4 linked regions of the Arabidopsis thaliana genome follow. The protein of the gene in region 3 interacts with the protein of the main gene of each other region in a pairwise test. Each region holds a gene or a part of one and is shown on either strand. Other genes may lie near its edges. The genes, in order: AT3G60670, AT3G11280, WOX14 and BLH4.

Region 1 (5,065 bases), on a different chromosome or scaffold from region 3:
GATTTACTTTAGTGAAATATTCATATATATAATAATATATTTAAGTTAATTTATATATAGAACAAATTTTAATGTACCTTTTCATTACATTTGATATTTTATGACCATTTGTATCATGAAGTCTCTTATATTATTGGTTAAAAAAAATAAAAAATTAGATTATAGTTTTTGATATAAATAAATAAATCTTAAAATATGTAAGTATCCTATATTTTTTAAGAGAGGAAGTAGTGAATTAGTGATGCACCTTACATTTACCGTGTTCGAGTATATGCTGAAAGTGAAAGGTTTTTAAGTTAATAATTTGTGTAACTTTTTGTAATCTGATCCCGCTAAAAAAAAAATAACATTTTACATTGATACATTTGTTTATTATATCATTCTGTCTAAATTCCACAATGACATATAGAAATAGTTATCTTTTTTATTACATTGTGGGACATAAAATCAAATACAAAGACAAAATTGAGGGTCGTATGTCACTTTCCCTTGATTTCATTTGACCGTTTGGTTACCAACGATTTCGGTTGTTAGATCAAAGTTTGTTCTTCAACGACGTCGGTTTTGACTAAATCAATAACACCAATCGTGCTGTTGTGATCAGGACCACCCCAGATGTTTTAAATTCGATTAAGGAGAAATGTGGATCAACCATAACAAACAATCGTAAGTAGCCCAAATAAAGGATAAAAGCCCCAGCCCATGTAGATATCGTAAATTGACTAAAATACCCCTGATGATCAATAGTAACTAAAAGGCTAACGAGAAAAGGGGACAGCTGGATCGAAATCGAATCGGATCAGATCAAAAGAAAGCAGTGGCGTCGCATTCTTTCTCTGCCTGAGGCTGCTGCTGCTGCTCCTCCGTACCAACTCTGATCCACCTCTCTGTCCCTCTCTCTCTCTCTCTTTCTATACATACACTCATATTCTTTTTTTTTCATTTTTAAAAATTTGTATGCAAAAATTGAGAGATTATTTTACTTATAATAATAAAATGAAAATAATAATAGGTGGTCTAGTGAGGTACGTAGGTAAGTTTAGTAGTATAAGCAATAACTAATAAATCCCATCAACTTTGCACTGGTTTTCGAGAACAGTCTACAGCTGTGACAATGGGTCTTAGGGTTCTTGGAATTTGCTCTCTATTTCTTCCTCTATTCAATGTATCAATCATATACTTCATTTAGCTATTACAATTATGTTTTCTTAATTATTAATGAAGCTTATTTTTATTTTTTTGTGTGGATGGTAATGTTTTTAATTATAAAACGGTGCTTAGCTTTAATTTGGGTATTTATTCTCACATTTTTACTGAACGAAATACACGTAGTAGTAAAAAGAGAAATTTGTTTTTAGTAGGTTATATTGGGTTTACGAAATCGCCACTTAGAAATGATCAAATGAAAAGTAGACTGTTGGGGAGAGTCTTGTCATTTAGCACTTTTTCACAGTGAACCAGACAGACCTTCTAAACAAAAACAACACATACAATTATATCATGAAGAGACGATACAGGAAAATCAAATTGGTTGTATAAAGAAATCTCGTTTTACTTTCTTTTTAAAAACCCAACTCATATTGTTATAAGAAAGAGAGTTTTTTTTTTCTGTCTAAAGAAAGAGAGATTAAAACTCTGAATTTGGCTTTAAAATTTTGATATTGACGACTGTCACATACCAGAGGACTGAATTTTTTTTAATACTATTTCTGAAGAAAATGCTTTCTTAAATTTAATTATTAATTATAATATAAAGTTCATATTCACACGGTATATAAAAAAAAGGTTTTTTCATATGACAGTAAATATAAAATTTATTATTATTGCCAAGCTGAATTCTAATAAATATACACTTCTGTTTGTCAAGTTGGAACTGTATCTGTCAATGAAAAGGTACTTAATAATGATAAATAACCCAAAATTGTTACTTTTCAACACTCATAATCGAATTCTGCTATCTAGTAGTAGTCATTACGTAGTAAGTTAGTAACGTATCTAAGTGAACCACTTCTCTAACTAATGGATAAAACTAAATGAGAGTAAATAATCAACAAAACAAATTAATTAACGAATACTAAAGATTACAACACATCATTAAGGAGAGAAAGAAGAGAAGACTCATTTGAATTTAAGCTAGTGGTCACTCTCTCCAGGCGCCGCTCTCTCTTTCCTTCTTTCTTTCTCTCTCTCTCTCTGAGAATGGTCAGTCAATTTCACCACTGAGAGAGCTCAAAATCGCCTGACCTTGACCTTACTCTCTCTATCTCTTCCCCGAGAAAACCACCTCCCAGTGTAGATAACCAGAAGAAGATAAGCCAAGGTGGGTCTTCTCAATTTTACCTTTTTAGTCCAAAAAACATGAAATTGAAACATGGGTCTTGATTCATGTATGGGTTTCGTCTTTAAAGTTTACTGTTTTTTTTTTGGTATTTTGCAGATGGAATCTGGAGAATTTCCTGCATGGCTTGAGGTTCTGTTAAAAGACAAGTTTTTCAACGCTTGTTTGGATCATGAAGATGATAAGAAGAACGAGAAGAACATATTATGTATCGATTGTTGTCTTACCATCTGTCCTCACTGTCTCTCTTCTCATACCTCTCATCGTCTTCTTCAGGTCTCTCTCTTAAAATAAACAAACTTTTTTTTAATGGTTTCAAAAATCTTCATATTTGTCGGAAGAAAAATATGAACTTGGTGTGTTTCTGGGAATCTTTACGCAGATAAGAAGATACGTGTATAGAGACGTTTTGAGGGTTGAAGATGGTTCTAAGCTAATGGATTGCTCTTTAATTCAGGTATAACTCGGTTCTGGTTGTATTTAATTATCATGATAAAACTCTTAATCCGTTTATTGTATACATTAAAAGTCCAATTTTCATTGGTTCTTGTGCCCTAAAATTTTGACAGCTTTAATTAATACTCGTTGTCTTTTTCTTTTTCTTTGTGTGTGTGTATGTGTTGATGATGATTAAAGCCATACACAACGAACAGTTCAAAAGTTGTGTTCATCAATGAACGGCCTCAGTCTCGACAATTTCGTGGTTCCGGTAACATTTGTATCACCTGTGACCGGAGTCTCCAGTCTCCTTACCTCTTCTGCTGTCTCTCCTGCAAGGTCTGCTTTTTCTTGTTCTAATTACTTAAAAGGAACATCTTTTCTTCGTTAATTAAGTTTTCATTTAAAATTCTATCACATACCCAGTCCGATTTACCACTTTTCTTCATCTGGGTCGATCTTCTTTTTTAGAAATTTCATTTTTTGATGCACGAGTACACGAAATTGTCGTCAGATAAAAAAGGAACGTTTTTATTTGTTGTCTCATTTATTTTTCAAATTCTTTCAAAATACACAATTCAATTTCTTTCTGTTTTTGTTGTTTTTCTGCTTTTTAATATAAACACGCGTGTACGATCATATTTACACGTAATTGTCGCTGAAAACACAAACACATGGTTTGTTTGTTTTATGTAGATTAGTGACGTCATAATGAGACAAAGAGGACTCTCAGGGTTTCTCCGCGTCTGCAACGTTCTTGATTTAACCGACGAAGTCACGACAACGACACCGAGTTCCACTCTCGAGCCCACCGGGTCGAACCGAACATCTTCCGAGTCAAGTGGTAACGAAGGAGAAGACATGTTCTGGTGTCAGGCGCTCGCTTGCACCGCCACTACTGAAATCGTTAGGAAGAAAAGAAGCAGCTTGTCGACGACTTGCAGGAGAGTCACGGAGGTGGTTTCAACGACTAACACGGAAGCTCCGGTGAACTTTTTAAACCGTCGGAAGAATCCGCCGCAACGCGCCCCGCTTTATTAACTCGTGACGTTTGGCGAAATTTGGTTGGTCCAAGTGGTAAGTAGAATGAATACACGTAACTACTATAGTCTTATTTTATATTGTTAATCAATATCTCTAAATAACGAATCGAATTTTAGGTTTTTTTAAGAAATGGAATTAAGAATAGTTGAAAAGATCTCTCCTGGTTTTGTCTGACTCTGATATCTGTACCGCGTAATGAGAGAACTCTATGTTATTTAATTTAAATACTTTTCGTATAATGAAACATGTTTTCGTATAATCCGTTTTATTGCTTCCCATTTTTTATAATTTTTTAAAAATACCTCTTCCTCCACGAATAGCAATTTCAGTACTATTGAGACGGCTTGATTTAACATTTACAGCGGCGAAGTAAATTCTTAAAGGATTAATATTTGTTGTCATTAAATGCATTAGACCGACCATATCTTTCTTGGCTGAGTTAAATGATACGTTTTGAAAATAAAAGAAGTAAAATGGTAGTGATGGAGAACTCTATAAGTCTAAATGTGGTCTGCAGAAAATTTATGAATGTTTCTTTCTTGTATGTATATAAAATTTAGGTCACAACTCACAAAATAGTAAACATGTTAATTAATTATTTGATATCAGTTGGTTGGTAATAAATGTGAATTTTCTTTAAAAAATGCATGCGATAAGACTGTATAGTGTGTGTTTTTGTCTTTATGCATAACGTATTTTGTGGGTTTTGCACGAACGAAAGACGACTAAAATTGGTTATTGGTTATACGAAAAAAGAAGACAAAGAGATTGGAACAGACATTATGGATAAACGTGAAATTGTGAATGTTTCTGAGGCAAATAGTCTTTTTTTTTTCTCTCCTGTTTCCCTGGACCACTTTCTTCTTCCCATTTCGTAGTGCCTCTTGATTTTTATTTCAGGACATATGAACAACAATAATGCAAGGATCGTCGTTTTCGCTTGGTTATTAGATTTGTTTTCTTCTTCTGTTCGGAAAATAATGTTGCCAAATTTACTTGTCCGTATCAAGATAAATGTATGGCAGCTACAATTTACTATCTATTGATTTTACGAATAGACAGTGACACAGATAAGATCCTTAAAGGTATTGGAGTATTAAGAAAACTATGTGGAGGTAAAAAGTCACTAAATAAAAACGGAAACCGAGTTTTGCTACTTTGTAGGTTTGAATGGGACAGGCCATTTGTGCACTGGAACTTGAACCAGATTGCTTAGAGAAATTGCTTTTTTAATATTATGAAAAT
Region 2 (4,935 bases), on a different chromosome or scaffold from region 3:
TATGTTGTTGTTGTTTACTTATCTATTCGTATAGTGAAGAGTTATGATGCCGAAAGCTGCGTGGGAACCAGAATACCACAGAGTATTTGTGGACTTATGCGTCGAGCAAAAGATGTTAGGGAATCAACCTGGAACGCAGCATATATTGAAACCTTTTCTACAAAGAACTGGCGCTAGGTTCACCAGAAACCAGCTTAAGAATCACTGGGATACAATGATCAAGCAGTGGAAGATTTGGTGTAGACTTGTTCAATGCAGTGATATGCAATGGGATCCTCAGACTAACACTTTTGGTGCTAATGATCAAGACTGGGCCAACTATTTACATGTACAATTTATCTTCTGTGTTGATTTTGGTTGTTTCTTGAGTCTATAATAAAACTCATGATTGGATTTGTGACAGGTGAATCCTGAGGCTGGGCAGTATCGGTTGAATCCTCCATCGTTCCTCGAGAAACTTGAGCTTATCTTTGAAGATAGTAACTTAGATGATGAAGGTACTTCAGGTAGCAAAAGGAAGCGAATAGCCAAGCATCGTGATGAAGATAATGATAATACTGGAGATGAAGAAGACACGCAAAGCGCTTCTAATTTCTCGAGTCCTCAGTCGAAAGGATACTGGTCACCGTCTTCACATGAGCTGTTTGTTGATTTGTTGTTCCAAGAGGCTTTAAAAGGAAACAGACCTGACTCACATTATCCAAAGGAAACTTGGAAAATGATCCTTGAGACTATCAATCAGAATACCGGTAAAAGCTTCACCAGACCGCAACTCAAGAATCATTGGGATTGCACCAGGAAATCGTGGAAGATCTGGTGTCAAGTGATTGGTGCTCCTGTCATGAAATGGGATGCAACTTCTCGAACATTTGGTGCTACTGATGAAGACTGGAAAAACTACTTGAAGGTATAAACGCTACTCGACTTTTTATATTAGTTGATTAAGTTTGCAGCTTAACATTGGTTCTTTGATTAACAGGAGAATCATAGAGCAGCACCATTCAGAAGGAAACAACTTCCTCACGCGGATAAACTAGCAACCATCTTCAAAGGACTTATAGAACCAGGAAAAGCCTATTTCCGTTCTTATCGCAGGAGAGTGCTTGATCATCATTCCGAATCACCACAGCTACATGACCCAACTCCATTATCAACACTTTACACAAACGAGCCAGTCTCAGGTAGTGAAGGTGGAGCTGATGAAGATGACAATGATGACGATGATGAGCAGCCTACTCCGCAGCACCGGAGATTTAACAGTGTTGGTTTTGCAGAGTCTCGGTTACAAGATGTTGAAATTGTAACTCCGGGATGCCACAGGTTAAAAACTGAGCTGATGAAGGAGAGTCCAGTGAGTGCATCGGTTAGGCAGTACGAGTATACCATTGGGGAATGCATTGAGTGTTTGGACTCCATGGAAGAGGTTGAGCAAGGTAGTGATCTTTACTTGTTTGCGTTGGATTTGTTTGTGAAGAAAGAGTACAGAGAGATTTTCTTGCTGTTGAAGAACTCAAGTTTGAGAATGTCTTGGCTGCTTAGACTTCGATCTGGTGGCCTTACCATTGCTGCCTAAGATCGTCATATTCTCCCAAACTTCTTCTGCTTATGTCTTATTATGCTAAACACTCTTGATTTATCTTTTGAACAGTGTGAGATGTTATATTATTAGGTTCCTTGAAAGATTTTATGACAGTCGAAATATTATAAGAGTTACTGGTTAACTTTTGTCGCAAGAAATTACTCTTGTCTCTATTGCAGATGAGAAATAAACTTCAAAGCATTCGTATCCTATCGTCTATGACTCTATGTAGCCTTCTCTTCTTCAAAATTAACTTAAGTTAAAAAACCTTGTACAGTTTGATTAGTTGATACAACCGATATACTTTTATTTGATTTTCTCTGTTTGCAGAAAGTAATTTAAAACTTATGTGAGCATCACAAGTAAAATGGAGAGATAGTGGGATTTAATGAGCTTTAGCTATTGAATCTGTCACACTTTCTAAAAATATTTTCCACCGACGCATAGATACTAAAACCAATCATCACTTAATTCCAGGTAAGAACTTAATCCTAAACAACCTCCTTAAGGAGACAAAATTAAGATATAAAAAGAGATAAATCGCGCCAGGTAGGGGTCGAACCTACGACCTTCTGCTTAGGAAACAGACGCTCTATCCACTGAGCTACAGGCGCTTTTGATTGTAATTATCAAAACATTATATTTATAACAAAACCATACAGTATGTCTCCGTGTGGACCAGAAAAAAGGCGATAGAACAAATTTGTCGTATTCCAAAGAATTAAATAATAGAATCAAATAGATCAATCAACTTTTTTTTTCTTTCTGAGAAAAATGAACCGCAAGAATCCGAGTGGAGTGGTGCCATTCGCTGTTCTCCAATCCAAATACGCCAAATCTTCCCAAAAATAAAGAAACCTTTCCTTTTCTTTCTCTTCACTCTGTTCCCATATCTACAGTGACTCTTCTCTCTCTGTATATTACTCTTCCTTCACTATCTCTCTCTCTTTACTGGGTCTTCTTCAGCTTCTGAGTCTTCTCCTCTCTCTCTATCTCTCAAGTGGGCTTTGCTTTGCTGTTTTTGTCTTCCTTCGACGACTCACTTTTGCAGATTCTCATAAATTCTTCAAAGCTTTGAGTCTTTTTTCAGATTCGAGGGTCGGTTTTATATATGCTTCAAATCTCTTACCCAAATCAGGTTCTTGATTCCCTCAGTATACGATTCTTCATTTTTCCTTCCCTTTTGTTTTTCTTCTTCTTTGATTCCTACTATATTATCATTAAACCTTATATATAAAAGCTTCCATTATTTCCTTATATCACAAATCTATCTTTTAAGCTTCCTCCACACATAGAGCAAGAAAATGGACTTTTTTGAGCTGTGTTTGTAGTTGAAACTTATTCTTCCCTTTTTTTGTTTTTAGGTATGGAGACTCTGCATCCATTCTCTCACCTACCTATCTCTGACCACCGGTTCGTTGTTCAAGAGATGGTGAGCTTACACAGCTCGAGTAGCGGTAGCTGGACTAAAGAAGAGAACAAGATGTTCGAACGAGCTCTTGCGATATACGCTGAAGACTCGCCTGATCGCTGGTTTAAAGTTGCTTCCATGATCCCTGGAAAGACTGTTTTTGATGTTATGAAGCAATATAGTAAGCTTGAAGAAGACGTTTTCGATATTGAAGCAGGACGTGTTCCCATTCCTGGTTATCCTGCAGCTTCTTCTCCCTTGGGGTTTGACACGGACATGTGTCGTAAACGGCCTAGTGGAGCTAGAGGATCTGATCAAGATCGAAAGAAAGGAGTCCCTTGGACAGAGGAAGAACACAGGTTAAGACACTCTTTCATCTCTACAGAATTCTTTCCATATAAGTCACTCTTCCTAGGTTCCTTGCAACGCAAGTCATCCCCTTTTTTCTTAGGGTTTTCAATGCTCTGTTTCTTGTTCCTTGCAGGAGATTCTTGTTAGGCCTTCTCAAGTACGGTAAAGGAGATTGGAGAAACATATCGAGAAACTTCGTGGTGTCAAAGACGCCAACGCAAGTGGCGAGCCACGCCCAAAAGTATTACCAGAGACAGCTCTCCGGAGCCAAGGACAAACGCAGGCCAAGTATCCATGACATCACAACCGGCAATCTTCTCAATGCCAATCTCAACCGTTCCTTTTCCGATCATAGAGATATTCTCCCTGATTTAGGGTTTATCGATAAGGATGATACGGAGGAGGGAGTAATATTTATGGGTCAGAATCTCTCTTCAGAAAATCTGTTTTCTCCATCACCAACTTCATTCGAAGCTGCCATTAACTTCGCCGGAGAAAATGTCTTCAGTGCCGGAGCTTAAGGCAACATAGAATCCCCAAACTCAGCGTTCTTAAGAATCTGAGTTTTGAAACTGTAATTAGAGAAATATAAGCAAAACCAAGTTTATTATATATGTATTGTGTGGTTTAAAAGTAAGAACTTGTTTTTACTCTGTATTTTTGTGTTTCTGTCTACTAAATACCTGTTATGTTAAAAAAAATCTGTGTTTTCTTTTCGATTAAATTATAGACTTATAGTTGTGAAAAAGAGTACTTGTGCTTTATGACAAGTTGATAACCCTAACAATTTACCACAATATATCTATTTTATGGTGTTAAATGCAAATTATAAAGATATACTGTAATAAAGACTTAAAGAGATTAAAAAAAAAAAAAAGACTCAAAGAGATCAAACACCACACAAAAATGAGAAATTTGTGAAACATGTTTTGGGTTAGATTTATTTAAGAAGATGGCTATAGTATAGTTTTAAATATTGAGTAAAGTTTTGGTGGAAGGTATGAAGAATTGATTTGAGTATAAAATAGAGGCTGAGTCTGCTTTCCACTTCTGACCAAAGAACCTCATTCTTCTCATCTATTACACCAACCTCCTGACTCATATATATATTAACGTATTTAGAATTACGTATAATGGTGTCATTTGTATAAAAAACATATATGAATGAAATGTTTATTTTATTTTTTAATCATTTGGTGCCCCAATCTAAACACTGCTCACATTTGAATTATGCAACTTGAAATAACTTTGATAAATTTATATTGAAACAACTTTGAAATATTATTTATCACAGTTCATATGCAAAGTTGGACCAAAGGCTACACTTAATCAAGCAATAGTTTTATCATAGTTCATATTCAAAGAAATCGGATTTAATAGATTTCCATATCTTATTCTATATGTATTAGATGAATCTTGATCATCAATTGTGACATATGCTACTGCAATTTGCGAGTCCTATTTCGGATAAAGAAAACAAAGTAGTTTTTCCTTTCTTGCAACTTTATGGCTTTATTTCTTTTGCCACCCTTTTGTTATTTTGTCACTTTCGATCTGGTCGCTTCGATGGGATCTACATGCCTTACACTGATGT
Region 3 (4,355 bases):
TTATGTTTATTCTAAACAATGATGATACAAGCAACTGGTAATTTGGTTAATGGGGGTGCTTGAATAATGGTGGTGTGTTGTGGTTTCAGGAGGAAGGCCCTAAGGAAGATGAGGAATCTGACAAGTCAGTTTCAGAGGTTAACGATGAGGATGATGCTGAGGATGGCAGTGAAGAGGTAAGTTATTTTACACCTCTGCAATCTAAATATCTGTAGTATGAATCAGTAAAGCTTTGTATTAACTCTGTTATACATGTGATGTAGGAGGAAGACGATGATTAAGAAGTTGAAGTTGTGGTAGCGTAATATAGAAGGCTGCAAGGAATCTCTCGGATGTTTTTATCTCCTCTCTTAAAATGTTAATTCGGGTGGTTAAAGTGGTTTTTTTTTTTTTTCTTTTTCTTTTTCTTACTGATGTTTCGTTTTAGTAAACTATTACCTATCTCCCACTGATTCTACGGGTAATGGAAAAAGTGAATGTAGAATGTTTAGATGGTGAAATGAGAGATTTGTAGCTCTATATAATGAATGATTTAGTTTTTAATTCCTCTACGTTTTAATGCTCTTTAGACTCTTTGTTTCTAGTTGATATGAGGATTTATACCCCTGAAAAAAATATTAGTGTAAACCATGTTTTTACTTAAATCATATTGGGGTTGTGAGTCCTATTGCATAATCACGCTCTTAATCAATGTGTTCCACAAAGAGTAAACCATGTTTTCACTTTTTATTTAGTTATTTGACTTTAGACACAGGTTGGTAAAATTGTTTTGAGGCTATACTTGAATTTTCCAAATTACCAACGCCATGATCATTTGGTTCTCTTTTCATCTTTTGAAAAAAAAAAATGGTTTGCATCAGCTTAATTAAGAGTTTCTCTTTGGATTGTATTACTTCGTTTGATTTAAGAAATAAGTAAAAAATTTGATCATTTTTGACAAAAGTGAAGATTTTAGTGAAAATCTGCGTATTAGCAGCAGAATAGTCTCACTTATGTTATAAATTTTTAGTCAACATCTTTATATCAAAGAACCTTTTTGGTCAAATTCGTACATTTTCTTCTTAATCAACTTAGAAAAAGAAAGAAAGCATGCTCTTCTTTTTCCATCAATAGTTTAATCATTAGTCATAAGTCACAACGATAATATTTTATATAATGCTGTGATTAAGCCTTGCTTCCGGCTTTACCTAACCACTATATACATAAAGTAAGATACACAGTTTGTGTTCCTCTACGGATGTAACAACAATACCTGGTTTTAATTAGGTTGTTTTTATATATTAGTGTGGTGTCTTATTATGTCATCAACACATAGGATTAAGATCTTCTTAGATACATATTTTGGATTAGCACATTTTTCTATTTCAAATGGTAGATATCTTGACCCGTAAAACTCGATTAAAATGTTGAAATTCTAACAAAAAATTGTGAATACCGTCGACCAAAATCTATCCTAGTGAAAGGCCATAGTTCTCCAATGTTTTCAATATGTAACCAATGTAATAAACCTGGTAACTGTAAAAATTAAATTGGTCCAATTGATCATTAAACAAAGACATCTTTCCAAAAAGTGTTTGATTTAACGGTAACAAATAAACTAAAGATCCCTTTATTCATAAACAAAAGAATATATATATCATTCACTTTCTCATTGTCTTGTTCATATGGTAAAAAAAAAAAAGGAAAAGGAGAAAAGCAAAGAAATAGAGGAGATGGATAGAGAGATCCAAAACGGTGCGTATAGTGGGAGAGTGATGACTGAGGAGCAGATGGAGATTCTCCGTAAGCAGATCGCCGTTTACGCCGTTATTTGTGACCAACTCGTCCTCCTCCACAACTCCCTCTCTTCTTACCATCCACTCTCATCAGGTACACTTCTCTCTGTTTTTGTTCCTGATTAACAACAATCACTTTTCTATGTATTTGATTTTTTTACAAGAGACCATTTGATGAGCTTCTTTGTATACGGTAGAAGAAGTGTGTAAGACGAAAGTGTTTAAACGCAGCGTTTTTTGCGATGCAAACGTTGTTTCCATTAATACACTTGACCCATTGAGACTTTAGTGTAAAAATGTGAAAATTGTGTTTGCGTTTGGTATACAACTAACGAAATCCAAGGCTTTTTTTTTCCCAGTGTTCGATGCATAACTTTGAATCAAATTTCATAATGTTTTAGACATTCGAAGACAGTTTACCTACCGCTTAGATATCGATTTATCATTGCTAAAGATATTTGTTAATATAGTTTATGATTTGCTTAGATCGAACAATTCAATATATTATTAATGTTTATTTTCTCTAGACGTAAGCTGATTTGAGGGTTATCATGTCGTGGCCGATTTTTAAGAAGCTTGAGTTATTAGTGCTTTGTGGTTTTGATAATACATATTTTGTACATGGAAGAAACTTAAGGGTCACGTCACTTATTTTTTTATAATGATTGAGTGTAAAAAAGGAGTGAGGCCAATGGTTGGCGGATACTTTGATCCGATGGGGGCATCGTCAAGTTCTCATAGGATATCGACTAGGCATCGGTGGACTCCGACTTCAACACAGCTTCAGATACTTGAGAGCATTTACGACGAAGGAAGTGGAACACCGAATCGACGGAGGATTAGAGAGATCGCGACGGAGCTGTCTGAACATGGACAGATCACGGAGACAAATGTCTACAATTGGTTTCAAAACCGGCGAGCTCGGTCCAAACGAAAGCAGCCTCAAACGACGACAGCTAATGGTCAGGCTGACGATGTGGCGGTGACAACGGAGGAAAGGAGGAGTTGTGGAGATTCAGGGGGATTAGAGTCTTATGAGCATATACTCTTCCCAAGTCCTGACTTAGGTAAAAAGATCATTTGAGTTTTTAAACATTTGGTTAGGTTTATTTTTTATTTTTGGTTTGAGTTTGCATTTTTTTTTGTGGTTTCAGGGATTGAGCATTTGTTGAGTATAGGGAAATTTATGGAGACTTAAAATTCGTATAGACTTCGATGAAGAAGATCTCTAATCTATTCTGTTTTCTTTTACTCTGTTTTCATAAAATAGAATTGTGTGTGTTTGTGTGTGACATTAACAACAAGTCTTCAATTTTATTATAATTTTGTGTTCCTCAACTTGATATATATGCCCACATCTTTTTCAGCATCAGAAAGAAAAGTGATGCCATCTTAAACTCGGTTGATATTTTGACCGGTAAATCTCAATTCAAATGACACTAAAGAGTAGAAGCAATTGACCATAATAACCGATCCTAGTCATGACCATAGCTTTTTTCATTGTTTTTAAATTTATTGTTATCACACAAAAAATCATATAAAATCGGATATTGGTTACATGACCACACAATTAGAATATATATCAATTATTTATCCAATTGAATCCCAAAATTACCTCAATTAACTAGTAATTGAAAAAGAAAAAAAATCAGACAATTGATCCTAGTTTGACATCTTTCCATAAATTGTTTAAAGTTAACGGTAACAAATAACTAAAGATTTCTCAAAAAGAAAAATACATAACACCTTCACTTCCACATTGTCTTCTTCATATGGTAAAAAGGAGAGAGGAGAAGGCAAAGTGGTGAAAGAGGAGATGGAGCAAGAGAGCCTAAACGGTAGGTATGGTAGTAGAGTAATGACGGATGAACAAATGGAGACTCTTCGTAAGCAAATCGCCATTTACGCCGTTCTTTGCGACCAGCTCGTCTTCCTCCACAACTCTCTCTCTTCTGTCCCTCTTCTTTCATCAGGTACGTACACTACTCCATAATTGTATTTGGAAGAAACTTAAGGGTCACGTAACTGAATTTGTATGGTAATGATTATGAGAAAATACAATAGGAATGAATCCAATGAGAGGTGAGTATTTTGATCCAATGGTGGCATCGTCAAGCGCTCATGGAATGTCGACTCGGCCTCGATGGACTCCTACGACAACGCAACTTCAGATTCTTGAGAACATTTACAAGGAAGGCAGTGGAACACCAAATCCGCGGAGGATTAAAGAGATCACGATGGAACTGTCTGAACATGGACAAATCATGGAGAAAAATGTATACCATTGGTTTCAAAACCGACGAGCTCGGTCCAAACGAAAGCAACCTCCGACAACGACAATTACCTCGAGTCAGGCGGATGATGCGGCCGTGACAACAACTGAGGAGAGAGGGAGGTGTGGAGATGATTCTGGAGGGTTTGAGTCTTATGAGCATATACTGTTCCCGAGTCCTGATTTAGGTAACCTCTTACTATATGATATTTATGTGTCTATGCATCGTATTTTGGTTTAATTGAGTCAGAGATGAAAAAATGTGGTGAACTTTTTGTGGTTTCAGGGATTGAGCATTTGTTGAATAG
Region 4 (8,360 bases), on a different chromosome or scaffold from region 3:
TTCAGGCTGCACCTTTATTTAGTCATAAAAATATAAGACGGAAATAGTTTAAGACGAACAAATTGTTGTACAAAATCATTTTGTTTGAGTTTAATTTATAGTCTTGTTTATAACTTTTATTACCTTTATGGACCGGTGGATCGATAAATTAACTTGAAAGTATGTTGCTCCCTAAATACTGTTCCGGGTTATTGGTTTCACCAAAGACATTTATTAAAACATGAAATGTCAAATCATGTAAGATTTATATTGCCAATTATAGTGTCATCATACTCTCCTAATAGAGTATATAAAATACTTCGAATAGAAATTTATTAGTTGTAAGGAATTAGGTGAAACGTAGATATTATTGTTTACTAAAATAATTGAAGTGACTTTTAAGAAAACCCTTTGTAAACAATTCAAGTAATGAGTCCTATTACAAAAAGTAATGAGTAGCACCATGGCAATGAGCTTAATGTCCCTTTGTAGAACTAAAACGTCTCCGTCTCGATTGACATATCCCCCAATATGACATGTAACCAAACCTTTGGAGTTTTGGATAATTGTTTCTCAGAGAAAAAAACTAAAGAACCTAACTCAAAAGATTATTTGTTTTCTTTTTAAACAAATATGTCACGTTTTTCTTAACTATTTTACTATAAACTGAAGATAATACAATTGTTAATAAGTCGATCGGGTACGTACCAAGTATATTTTGTTGCTATTACTAAATTAAGGAGCACATAGTTGTAGTAAGTAGGGATTAGTTGAGATGATTAATTTGATATTACAAGGAAAGTGATGTGACTTATTGGCGCTTTCCTAAAAGACTGTTGTCGCTTATTAGCAAAAATCAAATGGAAGAATCCAATAAATGCTACACGAAATTTAGTTTCCAGAAAATATATGTACATAATCATAATCTAAAACAAAATTTAGAGTAATTTGGCAGGGGTATTAATATGAACAAAAAATTAGTATGAACAAAACTATACAAAAATGTAAGGATATAAGTTTCATGAATAAAATAAAAATATGTGCATAATTATATATGGAACTTTGGTAGCTAGATCTCACTTGATATATGTATATCTCTCTTCTTCTTACGACAGAAAAGACAGAAAAAAAAACTAAAGAAGAAAGGAAATTTTAAAAGTATGTGAAGAAACTAAAAACATATATCGATAAACCAAAAAAATAAAATTCACTATAATAAATTTTGATGAATAAATTGAGAAACAAAGAAGACTAAAAATCTCCAAAGTCTCTAACGGAGAAAGAAGTGTTCTTATCAGGAATATTGCCAGAGTGGCGTAGACCAAGCGTAAGAGACACGTCACCAGTCTGTTTGGTCCCGAATCTTATGACGTTCACACCATCTCCGTCGACGTGGAAGTCACTGACGTCTTGCTGACACGTGGCGACGGTGAACGCGTCTGAACCGCCGTGAGAAGCGGCGGCGACGGAAGAGAGGAATGAAGAGTCGTTTTCGTGATGTGTCGATGTCATCGTCGTTGGAGTTTGTGCGGTTATGACAGTGAAGTTGTTTTCATTGTTGTTGGGTTTCGTGTCGTTGTTGTTTGTTTGTTGCTGTCTTCTTTGTTGTTGTTGATTTTCATTTTCTTCTTCTGCTTCTTCTCTTTCTTTTGCTTCTTGTTGATACATCTCTTCCACCATTGGTTTCCATAGGCGAACCCTAGCATTTATGAACCAATTTGACACCTGAAAAAACGAGACATATGAACTAATATTAATCACAATTTACTCTTAACAAGTTTATAATATTAAAAGAAACTTAACTTTTAGAAGGAAAAAAAAACTTTTCAATGAAATGTGAAATACTCCTTTTTACATTAAATATGGTTTTGATTGTTTTTGTATATACTTCATTTGTTTTATATTAAGTAAAGTTAAAATAATAAGTCATTTACTGTGAAGAAAATTAGTTTAAACAAATGAAACAAAAAAAATAGGATAGCTAAAACCTTAAGTTAAAATGATAGGAAAGGAGTAAAAATTATGATACATGTGTTTCCTTTGAGACATCTATTAAAAAGAAGATATATATTAAATTTTTCATTATATTCTTACAAGAACAAGATAACTTTTGACATGTTTCAAGTAATTTTGATTTGATGTTAACTTATGTATTTACTGAAAGGCTTAGATGAAATTTCTAAATTAAAAATTTGAAACATAATAATGTTTTTTTATTTGAACACATGAAACATAATAATGTTAAAACAACAATTTGAAGGTTGAAATATACTAATGGATATTTGAAGCCAAGTGTAATAAACTACTTGTGATGTAAATAATTAATGTGTACAAGACTTAGAGGTCTGCTAGTTAACATTGAAATGAAAGCTTCAAACTTTCATGTACTTGAGAAATACTTACATCTCTCTCTCCTATGTTTTATATATCCTTGTGTGTGTAAGTGTAGATAATGTATTTAATGAAGAAAACGAACCCCAAGAAAAACAAATGATTCGTGATATTGAAAATCCATGCAAGAGAATAGACATGAAGCCACTCATGTCAGATTTTGCATGATGAAATGATTGATATATATGGTAAATTGTGAGTTAAGTACATATATGTAAATGAGTAATTAAAAGGGTTCTTGTATGATAAGTATGAAAACATATTATATTAAAAAAATATTGATGTATGTATCTATATAGATAAAGGCTGACCTGATTTCTGGATAAACCAGTCTGTCGTGCTAAGAGGTGCTTATCAGCATCGCTTGGGTACCTGAGAAAGAGACCAGAAAATGACTTCACAATCTTTAGAACCCTAAACCAATAATTTTTTTCTTTTCTCTTTTTTTGAATATAGATAGAGAGGAAAAACACAATCAAGTAGATGCAAGAAAAGGTACAAACTTTCTCCTTACAAGGGCGTGAGAATCTAAGGGACAAAAGAAAAAGCTGATTTCAGAATAGAAGCATTTTATTTTATTTTTGTATCTTAACTTATTTTTCATCATAAAGCAAAATATTTATCTGTACAACTCTTCTCTTCTTTACTTCACTAACAACAAAATAGTAAAATTCTGCAGACATTAAATAGAGAAAGTACTGATGAATAATGACAGAAGAAATTGCTTTTTTCAGCTTTTAGATTTTTTTTTTCCTCTTTTTGATTTCTGTCTTTCTTAAGGGACAATATACCAATGAAACTGTACCACTGACAAATCTGAGACTTATTTTTTTGTAGTTATGTTAATGGCATTGTTACTTCTTTTGATAATAGTATGTGGAATGAATTAAAGCAAATTAAAGAAAAAAAAACTATAAAGGAAAGGTTAGGCAGAGACAGAGAAACCCTTAGGATGCTATTATGATCCCAAAGCATAAAAGTTTGCGATCTCACTCTGCAAACTTCTTTTGTTGCATTAATTATTTAAACCCTTTAATTTGCCATGCAATATAACCTACATTAATATAAATATAAACATACAGTTTTCATGAAAGTCTCCTAGTCAATGAATTGTTACCCTTGTTATTTTGGAGTACTCTTAGCTGACCATTCTTATGGGTGGTATGAAAAGGAAAAAATATTTGATATTTAAATTTTTATTAGTAGTAATAAACATAAAATAATCAAACTCAGTGAAGAAACGGAACTTCATTTTACAAAAATTATTTTGGTTTTCTAAAAAAGCCAGCAGCTTTTAATTTTGATTGAAATAGAAATATATCTTCCCGCATAACAAAAGAGTTATAAAAAAAAAAATTTTTTTGTCACTTTCATAACTTAAGTTTAATAAACGTATATTAGTTAAAGTCTTGGTATCAATGCATTATGGTAGTCTACATTTTATAATGTATAGTCAACATTCAAGAAGATTAGTATTATCGAAGAATAAGAGTAGGTAAGTATTATTAAGGGATTAGAAAATGGACTTACGGATTAAGAAAATGCTCGAATAGCCAAGCTCTAAGGATATTAACGGAGCGTTCAGGCAAACCACGTTGCGGTCTCCATGCCTCTTGCTCCATCATACCCATATGATGAAACGCTCGTTGCTGACGCAAACTCTGCTCTAGCAAACGCAATCGCGGCGTTTCCCCTTTGGTTAACCCCGAGGATGCAGCCCCTGCCGCCTCTTTATCCCCTAGAAGCTCACAGCTGCGTTTAAGCTGAACCGCTACCGCGTCTTTCAAACACCGGAAATGCCTAGACATTGCCTTTTGAGCTAATGTCGTGTACGGAACCGCCGCGCCGTAACCCATTACTTGGTCGAATGAGTTCACTACCATTTGCATTTGTTCGCAGTAGTGGTTGTACCGTCGGTCCACCTACAAATTAAATTTTAAATAAATGAACTATACATAGATGAGTTCTTGTTTTTTTTTTATTAGCTCAATTTCTAAGATAAAATATAAACCTCAAGTGATTAGTTCGTTTAGATACTTCAATGTGTTATCTTCTCTTGCTAACAATTTATGCTATCTTGGAACATATACTAAATTCTTGAAAGAAGATAATGTCAACTACAAAATAAATTGTAAGATAAATAATGAAGTAACTTCAAGGACTAGTTTTGGTTACGTAGTGAAGGTGGCTAGCTTATATGGAGAAGGAAACTCTAATTTAAAATTTATGGTTGTGAAGACTAAATCACTTAATCAATCATATATTAATTTCTTATGTTAAATTTGATTAAGCGATGCCACCAAACGCGTGACACAAAATATGCATTAATATATCAAATTAGACCATATAACACCATATAATGATATTAGTTAGAAAAATTATATAAGTGATAGTAGGATTGCGTAATCAGGCTTTACCAACTAGAGCATGTGTCGTGCTCTTGTACCAGTCGGTCATTCTCTATACATTTATTTTTTTAAGAAAATAACATATATAGAGTTTATGAAAATATTGGTCGATTTAGAATTAATTATATAAGAAGAAAAAAATCACGAAGAAAAATAAAATTTTGTAGCGATTGATATGAAATTGGTTGTTTGATCAATTCAATCATTAGAACGGTTCATTAAAAGTTTGATAGAAAATTAATTAGTTTGGTTAGAGAAAAAATATTGAGTGAAAACGTTACCTCTTCAAGCATAGATAGTAGCTTGACTTTTCTTCTTTGATGTTCAATCCGATCAGCCGGAGACAAAGGAGGACTATCATTAGCTGTTCCGGCCGATGACGAGGACCCTCCGCCTCCTCCTCCACCGGTAGTATTAGGGTTTGAGTTGTTCCTACTAAGTTTGTTCTTCTTGAAATGTCCTCTTCCAACACTACAAAACTCTTCCAACAACTCTTGAGCCGGTTTCGTATATTTCGAATTCCTCAACGTGTAGATCCCTCCAATGGATGAAGAAGCCGCCATGGGAGATGATGATGATGAACCAAAATGTCCAACAACTTGATGGTGATGATGTTGAGAAGAAGAATTCTCAAGAAGAAGATTCTTGAACTGATTGAATTGATGATGATGAGCGGATGCGTTAGAAGAAGAAGAAGTTCCATCAACGGCTGCACAATAAATGCTTCTATATTCCTCGGCTTTAGCTGCGGCTAATGAAGATGAGAGAGATAAAGACAAACCCTTTCCTCCTTCCACGTGGACGGTTCCGATCATATCTCGGTTTTGATGATGATCGGAGGAGGAAGATGGCCATGTAAAGTGTTGTTGTTGCTGCGGCTGCATAGTGTTTTCGTCGGTGAAAGCAAAACCTTGATGATGATTTGGTAATAACATATGAAGAGTTGAGTTATTGTTGTTGTTGTGACGGTTTTGTTGCTCTAGCAACTGTTTAGTAGACTGATCAAGAATCTCTCCACCGGAACCGCCGCCACCTCCGCCAGGGTAAGCAAACATTTCAGACAACATTCCGGCGGTTTCATAAACCGGAATTTGAGCACCGGAGACGACGGCGGATTCATCTACTTCCTCTTGATGAGTGGTTGATGATGATCGGTGGAATCCATTAGAGAAGGAAAAGATTCCTTGGTGATGATGATAATCTTGTGACATAGAAGAAGTTGTAGTAGCTAAACCCATATCTTGTTATTCATTATATCTTTTTTCCAAAGCTCTTGGATCCTGTAAGGATTCAGACATACACAGAGAATCTTATATAACACATACAAAAAAAAAATACAAGAAAAAGAAAGAGAGAGAGAGAGAGAGGAGTCAACTAGGTATTATACAGTTTTTCTCCAATCTCTTTCTTGTAACTCTTTTAAGGTTCTCACTTTCAGCTTCGGTCATCATCTACATATATGGTATAGAGAGAGAGAGAGAGAGAGAGAGGAAGTACCTTGGAGTTGCAGAGAATTAAAGAAATGATTGATGATGAGCTTATAGCTATCGTTTTCTTCTATACCTCTCTCTCTAGCTTTCTTTTTCTTGAGTACTCTTTTTATTTTATATTTCTCTGTTAGTGAGAGTTTTTATTCAGCAAATTCTGCAAAACCAAAAACTTATAAAAAAATCTCTCCCAAAGAGAAAGGAAGAGAGAGGGAAGAGAGAAGAAGAGGTCGCTGTTCTTTCTTCATCGCCTCCCTTTTTAACCCACCAATCTTCTTTAATATTTTTTTGTTATTAAAATCTTGATTTATCATTTTTTTATAATGAAGTATTTTTATAAACATCTTCTTTTTAATTTTAATCGGCAAAGGTTTCTTCATATCAATAACGATGAGGAGGAAAGACAAAAAAAAACTATACACATCCTGAAATTACGAAATTATCCTTGTTTTTTTTTCTTGTCTTTTTTTTTTGTCAACGTTATTATTTATTTATAAGAGAAAAAAAAACTTTTTATCACGGAAATGTCGGCTGATATCAACATTTTAAAGGAGTTAATTTGGAAACTAATTTATGAAAGCAAACTAAAAAGAATAGGAAGATAAGGTGAGTCCAAAGGTCATATCTCAATGAACCAAACCACCACCATAAATACTTCCACATATTTTTGTGCTTCAATATATTCTTATTTCGAGCCAAAATAAAATAAAATAAAATATTCTTATTTGACAAATTAAATACTTATATAATATTCCTATGATGCTCTCTAATTTTATTCTTTAATATTGTGTGTATTTGTTGTTTAGGGGAGACCTATGTCATTTTAGACTACTTTTTCATGTATGTACATTTATTCAATTAACTAATCATACGATATATCAAAAATCGATCAAATTATAATATGAAACAAATGAAATACATAAAAATCGATCAAATTATAATTACATTTTGGTAACATATGTGGCTAAATCAATTATTTTAAATTTCTTTGCAGAAACCGCTATATTACATCTATCATCACGAAATCGTAAAAAAAAAAGCATTAGAGATTACCTCAAGCTTGATATGATAAAGCAAAAATCTAGCTGCAAATCGAGGTTGTTTCATTTTGTGTTAATTGATTAGGAAATATCTCATTCTGTGTTAAACGATACTCTCAACTTTCAAAATATTATTTTATATCTATATTAATTAATAAAACTTTATCACTCAAAGATTATTGAAATTTTTTTAAAATTGCTTTTTAGATTACCCATTTTAAAAAATATCCCTTTAACAATAATATTTTTAAAAATACCATTGTTTTAAAAAAAACCTTGATGTTATGACAACATGCCTGATGACTAAACCTCCAAATCATCTTTACAAAATATTTACTAAAATCCAAAGATTAATCCTCTGCACGATTTCACGGTCGGCCGATAGCCTTTCACCATCATCGATGTTTGTAATATGTAAACCATCCACACACAACTAATGCATGGAAAAAACGAAATTTTATGGTTCTGTAGTTTCACAACTACACCTTCAGCTATCTCTTTTTCTAAACCTATACTTATAAAATTAATTTCAGCCATACATTATAATGACGTTGTATAGATACAAACACAATTATTTTCTGTTAAAATTAACGTATCATTAGTCATTACATTATCCTAGGTATATTAAATATTAAAAAAAAAAAAATTTCCAAAATCGATTTGACGTGCGTATCCATCCCACAAACAGTTAGAGAGACATGTTGGATATATGCTATGTAGGTTATAAATCCACAATAGGATAAATACTAATGGAAGGCTTGAAAGCAAAAGTGAAAAGCCCACTTGTATATATATCTATGGAGACTTATGTTGGAATCTATCATGCCAGAATCAGATACCAAATCGAAAATTGTGTAGCACGCAAATTTTTGTTTGAACTATTTACTTAATCTAAATTAATGCAAGTGATTTCTCAATAAATATTATTTTTTGCTAACGGATAATTTAGAATATTTTTGTTGCCTATAAGAAATTGGACTATTTCCTAAATTCAAAACTGTTTGGTTATTTCTACCAATTCAGCTACTTCATAATTGAAACTTCGTGCTATTTTT

Evidence for each region.
Region 1: the proteins of WOX14 (region 3) and AT3G60670 interact in a two-hybrid assay, tested with the Arabidopsis thaliana proteins (one large-scale study listed by BioGRID).
Region 2: the proteins of WOX14 (region 3) and AT3G11280 interact in a two-hybrid assay, tested with the Arabidopsis thaliana proteins (one large-scale study listed by BioGRID).
Region 4: the proteins of WOX14 (region 3) and BLH4 interact in a two-hybrid assay, tested with the Arabidopsis thaliana proteins (one large-scale study listed by BioGRID).

Annotation. Positions count from the first base shown.
Region 1 is NC_003074.8:22,423,447-22,428,511, reverse strand, and holds AT3G60670 (PLATZ transcription factor family protein), read left to right. Parts: upstream 1-2,142; 5' UTR 2,143-2,320; intron 2,321-2,437; coding exon 2,438-2,614; intron 2,615-2,720; coding exon 2,721-2,795; intron 2,796-2,974; coding exon 2,975-3,115; intron 3,116-3,472; coding exon 3,473-3,817; 3' UTR 3,818-4,076; downstream 4,077-5,065.
Region 2 is NC_003074.8:3,532,404-3,537,338, reverse strand, and holds AT3G11280 (Duplicated homeodomain-like superfamily protein), read left to right. Parts: upstream 1-2,344; 5' UTR 2,345-2,717; exon of another isoform or gene 2,718-2,943; 5' UTR 2,944-2,945; coding exon 2,946-3,349; intron 3,350-3,474; coding exon 3,475-3,862; 3' UTR 3,863-4,128; downstream 4,129-4,935. Other genes in the region: AT3G11290 (Myb/SANT-like DNA-binding domain protein), read left to right, coding at 44-328, 404-907, 980-1,573.
Region 3 is NC_003070.9:7,180,894-7,185,248, forward strand, and holds WOX14 (WUSCHEL related homeobox 14), read left to right. Parts: upstream 1-1,664; coding exon 1,665-1,869; exon of another isoform or gene 1,870-2,436; coding exon of another isoform or gene 2,437-2,455; coding exon 2,456-2,842; coding exon of another isoform or gene 2,843-2,859; exon of another isoform or gene 2,860-2,929; coding exon 2,930-2,973; 3' UTR 2,974-3,163; downstream 3,164-4,355. Other genes in the region: HMGB3 (high mobility group B3), read left to right, coding at 97-176, 264-300; WOX10 (WUSCHEL related homeobox 10), read left to right, coding at 3,592-3,748, 3,840-4,235, 4,334-4,355. UniProt on the Arabidopsis thaliana protein: Acts redundantly with WOX4 downstream of the TDR/PXY receptor kinase to regulate procambial cell proliferation and differentiation in vascular tissue, independently of any role in vascular. Involved in the regulation of gibberellin (GA) biosynthesis pathway.
Region 4 is NC_003071.7:10,106,721-10,115,080, forward strand, and holds BLH4 (BEL1-like homeodomain 4), read right to left. Parts: upstream 6,286-8,360; 5' UTR 6,166-6,285; exon of another isoform or gene 6,059-6,165; 5' UTR 6,017-6,058; coding exon 5,060-6,016; intron 4,293-5,059; coding exon 3,901-4,292; intron 2,899-3,900; coding exon 2,682-2,898; intron 1,705-2,681; coding exon 1,231-1,704; 3' UTR 989-1,230; downstream 1-988. UniProt on the Arabidopsis thaliana protein: Transcription factor that establishes leaf shape by repressing growth in specific subdomains of the leaf. Negatively regulates knox homeobox gene KNAT1/BP expression.